2 linked regions of the Stegostoma tigrinum genome follow. The protein of the gene in region 1 interacts with the protein of each later gene in a pairwise test. Links are inferred from orthologs where the notes say so. Each region holds a gene or a part of one and is shown on either strand. Other genes may lie near its edges.

What was found. The genes of interacting proteins can lie anywhere in the genome.
Region 2: the proteins of usp13 (region 1) and trim55a interact in a two-hybrid assay, tested with the Homo sapiens proteins (2 studies listed by BioGRID and IntAct). The link is inferred for Stegostoma tigrinum from reciprocal best matches to the Homo sapiens genes USP13 and TRIM55.

Annotation. Positions count from the first base shown.
Region 1 is NC_081367.1:37,019,812-37,027,468, reverse strand, and holds the start of usp13 (ubiquitin carboxyl-terminal hydrolase 13), read right to left. Parts: upstream 3,058-7,657; 5' UTR 2,909-3,057; coding exon 2,798-2,908; intron 1-2,797. UniProt on the Homo sapiens protein: Deubiquitinase that mediates deubiquitination of target proteins such as BECN1, MITF, SKP2 and USP10 and is involved in various processes such as autophagy, endoplasmic reticulum-associated degradation (ERAD), cell cycle progression or DNA damage response.
Region 2 is NC_081358.1:31,972,635-31,980,164, forward strand, and holds the start of trim55a (tripartite motif-containing protein 55a), read right to left. Parts: upstream 3,093-7,530; 5' UTR 2,992-3,092; coding exon 2,824-2,991; intron 1-2,823. UniProt on the Homo sapiens protein: E3 ubiquitin ligase that plays an important role in regulating cardiac development and contractility, muscle growth, metabolism, and fiber-type differentiation.

The DNA of each region.
Region 1 (7,657 bases):
CTACAAAATTATGAGGGGCATAGATAGGGTGGTCATAGGTAGTAATAGGCTTTTTCCCTCAGAATGGAAAAGTCAACAACAACAAGGCACAGGTTCAAGATGAGAGGGGGAAAGTTTAGGGGAGAAGTGCGGGAAAAAATCTTCACACAAGTGGTGGGTGCCTGGAATGCACTAGCAGTGGAGGTGGTGGAAGCAGGCACATTAGCAACATTCAAGGTGCATCTTGATAGACATACGAATGGGAGGCTAACAGATGGACTCAAACTGCCGATGGGCAATAATTAGTAGGTTTAAATAAGGAATAAGAATCGACACAGGCTTGGTGGGCTAAAGGGCCTGTTCTTGAGCTGTATTGCATTCATAGAGTTAACGATAGTTGCCTTTACTCTCAGATAGGGGATTTCAAGACTAGTGGGCACATTTTTAAGGTCAGAGGAGGTGAGCTATTTAGAAAAAGACATGAAAGGCATTTGTTTTTTTAAACACAGAGGTTGGTTTGCATGTGGAATGAACATCCTGAAGTGGCAGATATGGAGACAATTACAACATTTAAAAGGACATTTGGAAAGGTATACATATAGGACAGATTTGGAGGGATATGTGCCAGGAATTGCCAGGTGGGTCTAGTTTAATAAGAGTATATGCTGGTCACGAACTGGTTGGACCAAAGGGTCTGTTTCTGTGCTGTATGACTCTATGACAAAGTAATCAACTATCTTCCAAACATTACTTCTTGGTGCCACATTCTGTGCCAATGTTTTTCCATTACAAAGTTCCTACACTATATTATAATCGAAATTGTGTAAATTGGTCACTTTGGGCAAAAAAAACCTTAATATATTTTATCTCTGGTGTAGAGATTTTTACACAAATCTAATGAAAGTTTAGAATTGATGAGCTCCCACTGTAAAGACAGGAATATACATTAAATTCATGTAGTTTGCCCTCAGTTTTTTAGCATTTTTTTTTGCTTGGAATTAGGATTTACACAAAGAAAACTACTAAATTTGCAATCCATGAAACTTTAAAGATCTCTACACACCTCAAATTCCATTTTTTGATTTGGCCTGCTATTGACAACCAGGTCTTTGGTCAACTAGACCCAAGTTTGAGAATTCCCTCCACAAATTTCTTTGCCTCGCTCCCTTTTATAAGAGAGTCTGTAAATACATGGCCATGCCTTTGGTTAATTACTCCAGCATTTCCCTACATATCTCAGCATCAAACTTTGTTCAATAACTCTTCTGTCCTGTACATTACGGTGTTTTACTTTGTTGAAGGAGTTTCATTTCTGCAAGTTATTATTGTTAATGTATGAACTTCCTCCTACTTTAAATAATCCAAACACTTACACATTTCCTCAATTAATAATTCTTTCAAATCTATGTGCAATATTTCATTAACCTATTCCTTTGTGGTAGCAAGTTTCATATTCTCTTGGTTTTCCTTTTAACTAAATAGTGAGAACCGTGGATGCTGTAAAATCAGAAATTACTAGGAGAAGCTCAGCAGGTCTGGCAGCATCTGTGGATAGAAATCAGAATTAACATTTTGAGTCCAGTGACCCTTTGTCAGATCTCCCTCAGTTGGTTGGAATTATAACTTACACAAAGTTAAAGTTAAATTTACACCCTCTCACTTCTGAGGAAGGGTTACTGGGCCCAAAACATTAACTCTGGTTACTCTGCGCAGATGTTGCCACACCTACTGAGCTTTTCCACCAATTTCTGTTTTTGTATCTAGTTAGAAGGTTTTTCCTGACTACTTGTTTGGTCTTAAGAACAAATAATGAAAAAAAAAATTCTGTGCCTTCAGAGGAAACAGCAAATAAAAACTACTCAAACAGTACTATAACAAACCATGACAAGGTCTGGCTTGGATTTTACACCGGGATGGGAAGGCGCTCCATATACCCGTTCACCACTTGATGGCGGGCAACACACGTTCTATATTTTCACCGTGATCACATTACATATCAAATAAAAGAAACATAGGATTAACTAAGAATATTTTCGAAATTACCACTACCACAAAATCAATAATTGGTAAATACATTAATTTATTGTTTTTTTAAACTAAGAAGTACACAACCTTCAGTGTATTAATAAAGAAATACGATACCGCGACCCCCAAACTCTCCGTATATAAATAACTTGTCTCAGGCACTGTTGATGCACGCCAAACAGCTGAGTCACCTTTTACTATACTTTAACATTTGTATTTAATTTTGATAAAACAAAAGTAGCATTTCTATGTGCCATCTTTTTGAATTTTCAAAAGTTTTTTAAAAAGTTATTTTAAAAAGTATCTTCCTTCACCTTTGACTTTAATTCTCTTCCTTTCCATAACTCTTTAAAAACATATTTAAGAAGTCCCTTACTTTTAACTTGCCTTTTAAAGTGCTTTTTGAAATTGAACGTTACTCGTTCAAATAAAGCTGACAAATCATAATACTAGCTGACTCCTGACGCTTTGCTTTGTAAGACTTTCCTCCTTAGTTCTGTTTAAATGATCGGGATCACACGCCCACTGACATGTCAAGCCCCACACACTTTTTGTTTGCTTTCTGTTACATTCTGGCCCCATTAGGTTGCTGAGTTGCTGCGGTCTCTCTCTGTTTCGTTTAACAAAGTCCAGAACTGCCACACTGTCGACAGCCTGTCGCTATCAGTTAGGTTCCTAAATCCAGAGGAGCATCGTTAGTTTGTGCAGTCATTCACGTGTCAGTGGAAAACTTCCAGCGAGAAAGTTTCCGTGTGCGCGATCCCCCTCCCAAAAGGGCAGCCTGCCTACTTACAGGGGAGTCAAAGGAGAAGGCGCATTCGCTCTTGTAAACCCTGTCCCCTGATCTAGGGACTCGGATGGTTGGCATGTACGGCACCAGCAGTTCTCCGATGTCTGCAGCCATGTTGACATTCCTAACCCAGAATGCTGTTCAGGGCAGACATTGATAGCGAAGTGAGCAGAAGCTGGGCGAGCAAAGACTGCAGGACGATACACTATTTTTAACCCAGTGCAAGCTCGCAGCCCTCCCTCCAGCCATCGGACCTGCTGACGCTTCTGCTCTCGTCTTTAAAAAAAACCCGGACACTGGTGGAGATTACAGGGACCTTATACAGAGAGAGCTGGCAATAAACAATCGCAAAGTACCAGCGTTTCAACAAATCTCCTCGAGCTGGTCCTCAATTAATCGCCCAACTTCCTTGCAGATGAGTTCCAAGAGTTTATTGCCAAATGATAGCGCAGCCGACCCGGCATCAGAGAAGAATACGAGAGAAAAGGTACCAGAATTCCGAAATACAGACAGGAAATGCAGGAAACTCTCAGCCGGTCAGGCTGGACTCCCCACTCTGACCCACTAAATCGGGCTCAACATAGAGGAGACGACAATGAAAACACTGGTTTGAGAAGGTGGATGTCGGAACAAATAATCACGAGTGTCCCAGAGCAGAAGGAAGCCATTCAGCCCATTATACCTATCCCTGCTGGTTAAATGAGCATCATTGCCCAATTCCAATGTCCGGCTTCGCCACACCCCGCCCCATATTCTTGCACGTTATCTTTTATCCAAAATGCCTCAATTGAACATGCGTCCACCATACTTCTAGACAGTGCATTCAGATTCTAATTACTCATTGAGTGAAATAAAATTATCCTTACTTCTTTCACTTATCATTTTAAATCTATGTCCTTTAGTTTTTGTTCCTTTTACATTTGGGAACAGTTTCTTCCTTTCGATTCTATCCAGCCTGCTCATGATTTTGTAAACTGCTGTCAGAGTTCATGTTAGCCTTGTTTGTCCAGGGAGAATAGTCCCAACCTTTCCAATCTAACTGAAGTTCCTCATCTGTGGAACTGTTCTTGTAAACAGCTTCTGTACTCTCTCCACAATGCATCAATAATGTGGCACCCAGAAATGTACCCAACACTCTGGCTGAGATACCTTATGTAGTAATGAAGAAGTTAATTAGAGTAATCTGTGTTTTCAAGGGATGAAGCATAGAAAAATGGCACAGTGTTAAAATATAATGTAAATTTATACTCTGGACAAACCAAAATGAAAGAAGGTATGGTGAATAGCAAGGATCTTTCCCTGACAGTGGGAAGTTCAAAACTGGGGGGCATATTTTAAGGTGAGAGTAGAAAGTTTTAAAAAGGACACGAGAGGCAACCTTTTTACGCAGAGGGTGGTTTGTACATGGTTTGAAGTGCCAGGGGAAGTGGTGGATGCAGGTACAGTTACAGCATCTAAAAGACATTTGGATAAGTATGTGAATAGGAAAGGTTTAGAGGGGTATGGTCCAAACGCAGGCAAGTGGGACTAGTTTAGATTGAGAATATGGTCAGTGTGGTCTAGTTGGACCAAAGGGTCTGTTTCCATGCGTTATGACTTTATGACTAATCAGATTATTTACAATCCTCAAATCTAAATTGTCCAGTTTGGTGATAAACAGAAGAAAAGGACAAGATAAAGACTTAACAGCTGGTTAATCTGCAAAGTAAAGAAGCCATTTAAGATTGCAGGGAATAAATCTTTCTCTAAGTACATCTGTATTTGAAGAAGGTAATACCTTGAATGGCATTAAGTGGGAATATGGATGAACACTCAGGAAATCAGAGATATTTTAAGATATTTCTTTGTATCATTCACAAGATTTAGACTTTAGGTAAGAAAAGCAAAAGGCAAGTCATACTTTACCATTCTCTCATATATTTCAATATAGCAACTGATTTCAAAATTCCACAGCCTCTCCCCTGGAGTTGGACTTTGTTGATGTTTGACAGGAGATCAATGGGATGGGGTATCTGATCAGAATGAATTTATCCTGCTTTTGTGGACAGGACATACCTGGATAATTTGCACTTTGTTGATTAGATTCCAGTGTTTTAGCTCTAGTAGAACAATTCAGTTATGAGTATGGTTAGCCCTGAAGTGCAAGTCATCAGTGCTATGGCGAGGATGTTTCCAAGGCTCATATGCTTTGTCTATGAAGTTGCATTGACATCACGTGGGGTAAATAGAATTGATAGAATTGGCTAAAGACTGGCATCTCCAATACAGAGACCTTCAGTTTTAGCTTGGAATGCATCGTTCGCTCAACACTTGTCATTGAAGACAATTGCAAGCATTTCAGCATTGTGTTCACTGGTCAACTGAGATATATTAAATACCAGGAAAGGAATGATTGTGGAGTCTCCACCTTCTGTTTAATTATTTTCATGAAATTCTATAATATTTCTGCTTCCAGTAGTTTTCACATAAAATGTATTCAGTTAAGTGCTGGTTATAATTTATATTTTGTTTTCTTACCATATGTGCAATTGACATGAGATCTAGATTGCAAAACAGATTTACTGCCCAGAGCAATCATTCTTGTGGTAGTGTCATCAATTAAATACTTTTAATATTTTCAAAGGATGCAAGAAAGAATCCTGCAGAAACAGTTCTGATTCAGCTGTTACATATAATTTCTGTGCTGTACTTTAATGTGGTAAAGGTTCCAAAGTGCATCACAGGAATAAAAGACTTTCAAAACAAAACTTGATACTAACTCAGATAAGAAAGTAGTACAAGGGATGATTAAAAACTGCTTTTAGGATTCATCCCTATGGAGAAAGAGGCTAATTGGTTTAGTGAATGAACTTCAGACCTAAGGTCTTAGGCAATTGACAGCATAACCACCAGTGGTAGAATGATTAATATCAGTGATAAGCAAAGCAATTGAAGTGCACAGAGATCTCAGAGAGTTGTAGAACAGGTAGGAGAATACTAAGACGCTAAAGGAATTTGAAAATACAGGCGCAAAATTAAAAATTGATGCATTCTCAGACCATGATCAACAAACTCAAAATGTTGTGGTTGAACAGGACTTTGTATAATATACAGACAGCAAGAGATTCACATAACCTAACATTTTTGGAAAGTAGGAGGCTAGCCATAAGTCCTTGGGACAACTAAGTCTAGAGATAACAGAATCATGGATGATAGTTTCAACAGCAGATGAGCTGAGGTAACGGAAGTAAGAGGAACCTTGCAGCAATTTTAAAAAAACGGCAGTTTTGATGCAGTGGTTATGTGATCAGTAGTTCAACTTAGAATCATATAGATACCAACTTATGAGTAGCAGTACAGCTTAGTCAAAAGTACAAATTTTGATGGACTTCGTAGCTAAAGAATAGACAATGAAGACAATGGTTTTGAGATTCCTGTTATTTAGCTTGAAGTTCATTAAGAAACCATGAAAGAGCTGAGCGAGGATATATGTAATGGAGATGGGTGTTGTCAGTATACATGTGGAAACATATTCCGAGTACAGTTTATAAGTGAGAAACTAATTGAAGTAACTCCACAGAGGCTAGTATCCCTTCACCAAGCCCCCTTTATTTACACGTGCGCAGTACCTGACACTGGGTTGACTTCCTCAGAGCCAGATCTCAAAGTGAACAATACCTCTGATACTCTTGTTTCTGTCTGTCATCCAGGGTTCCCTGATTGGACCAGGTTAACAGCCCCAATCAGAGAACTCATATTCTATGAGGTCCTCCTGACTGACCTCATTACAATCACTACACTAATGTTTGATTCAATATAATTTAGATTCTGATACAGTCTACTGATAAGTCAAAGTAATTTATTTTTCAGTGCAATAATTGAATTATCTAATCATTTGAATTGAAAGAGTAGACCTTCAATCCATTCTGAGTCAGAACAAGAGAACAAGGAGTGTTAATAAAATAAATTGATACTGTAGCAAATTGATATTACTTTAATTGTCCTCATTGCGGCAGCAAATCTCTAGAAGATTTACAATTTCATGCACAGCACTGTTGTACAATTCATTCATGTTAATCAACACTGATGATGATGTGGAAAGCGAATTTTGCTTAATAGAAGATAAAAGGCTTCAGCTGCTATTCTAATCAATGAGTAACGAACAATTGAATATTGCATCAATTACAAAATTAATGAATTTTAAATACATAAACAACAGAAATTGCTGCTGTATAAAAACAAACTTGTTTACTTCATCATTATCAGCATCTGGGAAAGTCATTATCAGGTTGTTTTTATACCACTGTACTATATGGTGAAAACCAGTGAGACACACTGTTATGCACTGTAAAATCAAGTTGCCATGGGGGTTGATGATTTCACTAAAGAAACAAAGAACAACCTTAACACCAGTGAGACTCCATGGGGAAGGGAATATTTGCATTTAGGAAAGAGATATGCATCAATTCATAGAGAGCAGAGGTGTGCATAATAAGAGAAAATGTAGAGCTTAGGAGGCAAAGAGGTACTATGGAATTGAATTATATAGGAACACAAAACAAAATATGCAATCTGGAAGGAACAGCTCCAAAAGTGAAAAATTGAGAACCTGTTGGCAATAAAACAAACAAGACTTCAATAAAGTTTACATATTTGCATTTAAATAATGCTGGGAAAAGCTGTCCAATAAGTTTGCCAATATGATTCACAGCTCAAAAGTCACAAAATGACCATCACAAATGGTAAGAATCCATTGACTGCAAATTAGGTCTTTTGTATCTAGTTTTTAATTGATTGGGCAGTTGTGAATGCCACATGTACAAAAACTCGAATGAAAAAATATAACATGAGGAAGGTCATTTTTGTCTGTGAAGTTTATACTTC
Region 2 (7,530 bases), on another chromosome or scaffold:
AAATGGTCATTTGGAGCAGGAGGTAGAGGTGAAAAGCATGCTGAGAGTAGTTATATTATGATAGAATAGTACATAACAGTAAAACTAAATACAAAAAGATAAAGAGAGTGAACGTGACACAAAAATGTGCATATATTAATTATATTGAGAATTACAGCAATAATGTTGATTTAAACAGCTGCCCAGCATTCTTCATGTAACATCTGTGTTTGTTTGATGGCAGTACTGTAAGCCATATCAAGGATGGTGTCCCTGGGGGTGTGACCTCTAATAAGGATGGTGTGACTGGGGGTGAGTGAATTGTATGGGCGATGGTGTGACTGGGGTTAGGTCAGTTGTATGGGTGAAGGTGTTTCTGGGAGTAAGTGAAAGGGTCTCAGAGCCTTATGATGGAGGTGGAAATAGGTTTTGCATAAAACTCAGAGGTAAAGTGAAATATGCCATGGGCTGCACGGTGGTGACAAAGTTTCTCAGAGGTTTTGTTGTTTTCTGATCATAGTTACTGTAATTAACCTTCACCCACAATAGTGAACGGCCAACTGTGCCTGACATTTTCAAAGGGCTATAACTTGCTTCACAATGGATGAAATTGCTTTTAAGACAAATTGTATTGAGATGTATAGGTGAGGCAGGGAAATGCCATGCCAAGAGTTTTCATCCCATCAGCTCTTTTGGGATTCGATCATTTTGGCAGTTAGTAATTGCAGATAGTTGAATTTTATTAGTCTTCACTGGGAGGAAATAGCTTCCAATGGGTGGGCTCCCAGACATAGATGTGACTCCACTCCTTCTGCACCAGAAAAATTGGACATGTGCCATCACACACAAGGCTGATGGTGATTGGTCGTCAGCCTGCTGACCCAATGGCAATGGGGTTTCTGTCTGCCTGGGTCAACAGTATCAGGGATTAACGTGTAATAAAGTCTGTACTTCCACTGAGCCTGGAATTCTGGCAGGAAATTCAGTCTCATTCGAAATGTTAGGGTCATGTCCCGAGGAACCTTTGGATCAGCATTTAGAATGTGGTGTGTAGTAAGACAGAGTACAGTATGTGGTATCGACCCATAGGAAAATGGATAAACAATTTCAAAACATAAATAGCTTACAATAATACTGTGTCATATGTTTTCATGTTAATTATTCCAAGACCCTTCAAGAGTGCGTTATGTAACAAAACGAACTGTGTAAGGGAACATCAGAGAAAGAGACATAGGGTTTACAAAGCATCTTCAACAGACAAAAGTAGGGCAAGAATTCCAGAATTTGTCGGCCAGGAAACATTGCATTCATCCACAGGATGCAAGGATCACCTCCTAAGCCATCGTATTTCTTGCCCATCCCTAGCTGCCCAGAAAACAACCAAATAGCTGTGGGTCTGGAGTCACATGTAGACCGTACCAGGTCAGGATGGCAGCTTCCTTCCTTGAACAAGAAATTAATGAGCCAGATTTTTTTTCCCGCAGATTATAGAACTGGGGAGAGGTAAGGCATGGAGAGATTTGAAATCAAGGCTGAGAAATTTTAAATCAAGATACTGCTTAAGTGGGAGCCAGCAGTATGTATGGGGTAATGGGTGACCAGTCTGAATAAGAACATAGACAGTGGAGTTTTCGATGACCTGAAATTTATGAAAGGTACAAGACGAGACACATTGAGGAATAACGAATAACCAAATCGCAAAGTGGCTGAAGCACAGATCCCGAAGAAATCACTTTGAGTTCTGTGAGCAGATCTGGGCCTCATTCCTTAGGAAGCATATATTAAACCTTGGAGGGAGCACAATGTAAGTTTCCAAGAATGATACCTGGACTTTGGGGATTAAGTTATGAGGAGAAATTATATAAATTATACCTGTTTTCTCTAGAATTTAGAAGTTAAAGGGTGATCTAATCAAAGTTTTCAGATATTAACAGGAAAGGACAGAGGAGATAAAGATAAACTACTCCCATTGATAGGCGATACTAGAACTAGGGTCATAGTCTAAGAGTTGGGGCCAAATCATTCAGGAGAGACGCTAGGAAGCATTTTTACATGCAAAGGTTGGTAGATATTTGGAATTCTCATCTGCAAACTTTAGTGGATATTGGATCATTTGTTAATTTTAAATCTGAGATAAATAAACTTTTGTTAAACAAGGGTATTTAAAGATATGGGCCAAAGGCAGGTATATGGAGTTAGGGACAAACACAGCAATTGCTGGAAAAGCCCAGCAGGTTTGGCAGCTTCTGAGAAGGGAAATCAGGGGTACTGTTTCAGGTCTGGTGACCCTTCCTCAGAACTGATTATCAGACCTGAAACATTAACTCTGATTTCTCTTCAAAGATGCTGCTGGACCCGCTGAGTTTTTCCAGCAATTTCTGTGCTTGTTTCCGATTTACAGTGTCTGCAGCCTTTTGTCAGTTTTTATATGGAGTTAGGATCAGTTAGGAACTCATTGACTGGTGGAACAGGCTTGAGGGGCTGAACGGCCTACTTGTGTTTCTATGTCTCCATAAAGGCCTAAATTGCTCAAGCACGTTGCTTAATACTCTATTTCTCTAAAACAACCTCCTTAAGCTATGTTCACATGAAAGGCATTTTCCCACAAAATTCCTTAGAAAAAGTTGTGGAACGAAAATAATGTTGCATAGAATATCAGTTAAAACCTTATGCCACTCTAGCCCTTGCTGGGGTAAATGATCGTGACCTGTTTTCTGATGAGGGAGGCCATTCTGTCCTTTAGATCAGGAGTACAAAACTTGCTTTGTGATCACTACTCTACAAATGAATTCACTTTGTGCTTTCTCACTCTCACACATGACCCATACATGGCTCTTAACTTACCTGGAACATGTCACTCGCACACTTCCGGCACAAGTTATGCTGACATGGGAGAATAACAACGGGTTTGGAAAACATTTCTAGACAGATTGGGCAAATCAGTTGCTTTTCCAAGTTGTCCATGGTTTGCCGGTCTTTGGCCAAAAGGTTGTAGTCCATGGAAGTGGTCATGACCGAAAGTTTCCGAGATCAGTGCTAACTATTAAAGTTAGGTTCAGAAATGAAGCTGCCTCCCAGCTGCTCTTCTTGCTTTTTCTGCCCGGCTTGGTCTGAGGCTATGACCCAGTTGATTGGAACACATCCTACTGTTTCTGCATGTCTGACATTGTCTCGGATTGGATTGGTAGGTTTGATGATGCTTTTAGCAGCAGTATGTCAGCTGTTGCTATGTTTGCAGTGCACCATTATTGCCTTATATGAAACTGACACTAAATGACACTGACTGCCAGAGCTGCTGCCTATCTCCTTCTTTCTCTCCAAATTTACACCTGTCAGCACTCACTCTCAAAACAGCTACTTCTCTGGACACTGACATTTAGCAATAAAGTTCTTTAACCAAGTTGAAACAAAAACATCAAATAGAATAACTTTTGCCAAATTCACAGCTCCCAAAATAGTAATACAGCAATATGTAAATTGTGTTTTATTAAAATAGCTTGGGATCATGACAATGACTGCTGACAGTCCTGACAGCTCTGTCCAAGCCTTCTCGAACTTCGACCCCAGTCAAAGCATAAAATAACAAAGAAATGCTGTGCTTGGCTTGTATTTTTTTCCGTGATGAAACAGAACACACTGTCGCTTTTTGCTTTACAGATAAAGAGATGAAATAGCTCCTAACATCATTCAAATAAAACAAAAATCTGTGGAGACTGAATATCTGAAACAAAATCAGAAATTGCTGGAGAAACTCTGTCAGCATCTGTGGAGAGAATGCAGAGTTAATGTTTCAGCGCTTGAGAACAGTTCTGAAGAAGGGTCACAAACAGAAACAAATTACTGGTAAAAGTCAGCTGGTCTGACAACAATTGTGGAGAGAAATCAGAGTTAACATTTTGGGGCAAGAGACCCTTCCTCAGTTCTTAGCAATTCCAGAACAATTTCTGTTTTTGTTTCTGATTTTCGACATTTGCAGTTTTTTCAGTTTTCTGAAGAAAGGTCACTGGATTTTAAGTGTTAACTTTGCTTTCACTCCACAGAGTCTATCAGACATGCTGAGTTTGTTCAGCTTTTGCTGTTTTTGTTTCTTTTCAATTCTCTATGCATTTGGGACGGGATGGGGGATCAGTTAGCTGGCTTGCATTGCAGAGTGATACCAGAGGTGTGGGTTCAATTCCTGCATGGGCTGAAGTTACTGTGAAAGACTCTCTGTCTCGACCTCTCCCATCATGTGAAGGCACAGTGACCCACAGGTTAAACCACAAGCCATCCATGGTCTGATAAGGCAATGGCAATTTTAACTTTTACCTTATCTGCATGTTGGTTTGAAACAAAATTAAAAATTTGAAGAAGTATTTCAATTTTAAACAGACACATGGGGTATTCTTACTATGACAAATAATTCTTTTTTTAAGGAATTGCTACAGTGTGAAAGCAGGCCATTTGGCCCATTAGGTCCACACCAACCCTCTGAAAAGCATCCCACCACATGACTCTGCCCTACACACTATGGGCTGATTTAGCATGGTCATGTCACCTAACCTGCACATCTTTGGACCATGGGAGGAAACCCTTGCAGAAACAGGGAGAACATGCAAACTCTACACAGGCAGCTACCTAAAAGCAGACTTGAACCCAAGTCCCCAGTAGCTGTGAAGTAGTAGTGGTATTAATTGTTGAGCCACTGTGGAAATTCAAAGCATTGCTTTGTTCTGAACTATTTATGAGACACAGCTGTTGATTTGAATTTGCTTTTGGATGTTCTCCAGGCTCCGCTTGGAGCAGCACCACACCTACCTAAAAATGAGGAGCCAATCTGTGAAGTGACGATGCAGAGCTATATGTTTGTCAACCAGTATCGTAGGACCAACCGTCTTCAGCTGCTTTATCAATGACCTATCCTATATAGGGACAGGAGTAGGCCATTCAGCCCCTCAAGCCTGTTCCACCATTGAATGAGATCATGGCTGACCTGAGACCTAACTCCATAATTTAGATATCCCAAAATAAATGAGCTAATAATGAAGATTTTCTACTAAACTCATGAATTTCCTTACCCATAAAGGCATACTCCATCAGTGTTCAGTTTCTGAAATTGCTTATGCATGACTTGACAAATGTAACATCATTTTATATTGCAGCTGCAATAACTTGCCCTTCCATATACCCATCCAGCTACTTCTTAAAAGTTGTAATTGTATCAGCCTGTACCACTTTCTCTGGCAGCACATTCCATACATGCATCCATACTGTGTGAAAAAAGTGCCTTAGATCTCTTTTAAATCTTTCCCCTCTCACCTTAAACCTATGCAGCTCATTAGTGTTATTCAAATTAGGCCCGAAACCAAATTTGTCTTGGTTCTCAAACCTGTTTTGAACTCAAATTTCTTGGTCACTGCAATTCATTATGGCACAACTGCAGATCATAACGTTTTGAATGAGAAGTGATATACTGCAGATCCAATCGTGGCTAACAACATATCTGCACAATCATTGTTACCATGCAGACAATCAGTGTAATGTGACACATTCAGGCAGACGTGTAGAGGGTCAAAATAATATTCAATGCATTTAACCAGCCATTAGGAGCGTGTCAATAGTAAATTGGCAAAAACATTATCAGTTTAATGTGCGCTCAACAATGTATCCTGGAGAATGTTGGCAGAATGCTTGATGTGCACAACATAATATCATGAACGATCACCTCTCACTGGACTTGATTGGCATAGCAGCAAGTTTTGAAAAACTGTGTGGATAATTATCACCGAAGCACCTTTCCTGCTCACAGCCATTGGACCACAAATGAAAATTATCTGAAAACTTCCCAAGCAAGTGAAACATTGTAACAGAGACTAATTTGATAAAATATTAATTCAGCATGAAAGTCGGGAAGCGCCTAATCATACAGTGAGTAATGTTTGGAATGGTGTTGTAGGTGAAATAACAGAATTAAAACTGGATTAGTTCAGGAGGCACTACATCACAGTGAAGCAGCATCAAGTGGTGGACGCAGGTACAATTATAACATTTAAAAGACATTTTGATAAGTACTTGAATAGGAAAGGTTTGGAGGGATATGGGCTGGAAGCTGGCAGATACAGCTAGTTTAGTTTGGGATTATGGTTGGCATTGACTGGTTGGATTGAAGAATCTGTTTCCATGCTGTATGGCTCTACGGCTCTATGAGCTGGATTACTCTGTTACTAAAGCCGGACAACTATGTTGACAAAGACTATAATGTCCTGAATAGAGTGTGGTGAAGGTTCACCTAATTGATTCCTGGGGCGGCAGGACTGACGTCTGAGGAGAGATTGAATCAATTAGAACATAGAACATAGAACATAGAACAGCACAGAACAGGCCCTTCAGCCCACAATGTTGTGCCGACCATTGATCCTCATGTATGCACCCTCAAATTTCTGTGACCATATACATGTCCAGCAGTCTCTTAAATGACCCCAATGACCTTGCTTCCACAACTGCTGCTGGCAACGCATTCCATGCTCCCACAACTCTCTGCGTAAAGAACCTGCCTCTGACATCCCCTCTATACTTTCCTCCAAACAGCTTAAAACTATGACCCCTCGTGCTAGCCATTTCTGCCCTGGGAAATAGTCTCTGGCTATCAACTCTATCTATGCCTCTCATTATCTTGTATACCTCAATTAGGTCCCCTCTCCTCCTCCTTTTCTCCAATGAAAAGAGACCGAGCTCAGTCAACCTCTCTTCATAAGATAAGCCCTTCAGTCCAGGCAGCATCCTGGTAAACCTCCTCTGAACCCTCTCCAAAGCATCCACATCTTTCCTATAATAGGGCGCCCAGAACTGGATGCAGTATTCCAAGTGCGGTCTAACCAAAGTTTTATAGAGCTGCAACAAGATCTCACGACTCTTAAACTCAATCCCCCTGTTAATGAAAGCCAAAACACCATATGCTTTCTTAACAACCCTGTCCACTTGGGTGGCCATTTTAAGGGATCTATGTATCTGCACACCAAGATCCCTCTGTTCCTCCACGCTGCCAAGAATCCTATCCTTAATCCTGTACTCAGCTTTCAAATTCGACCTTCCAAAATGCATCACCTCGCATTTATCCAGGTTGAACTCCATCTGCCACCTCTCAGCCCATCTCTGCATCCTGTCAATGTCCCGCTGCAGCCTACAACAGCCCTCTACACTGTCAACGACACCTCCGACCTTTGTGTCGTCTGCAAACTTGCTGACCCATCCTTCAATCCCCTCGTCCAAGTCATTAATAAAAATTACAAACAGTAGAGGCCCAAGGACAGAGCCCTGTGGAACTCCACTCACCACTGACTTCCAGGCAGAATATTTTCCTTCTACTACCACTCGCTGTCTTCTGTTGGCCAGCCAATTCTGTATCCAAGCAGCTAAGTTCCCCTGTATCCCATTCCTCCTGACCTTCTGAATGAGCCTACCATGGGGAACCTTATCAAATGCCTTACTGAAGTCCATATACACCACATCCACAGCTCGACCCTCATCAACTTTTCTAGTCACATCCTCAAAAAACTCAATAAGGTTTGTAAG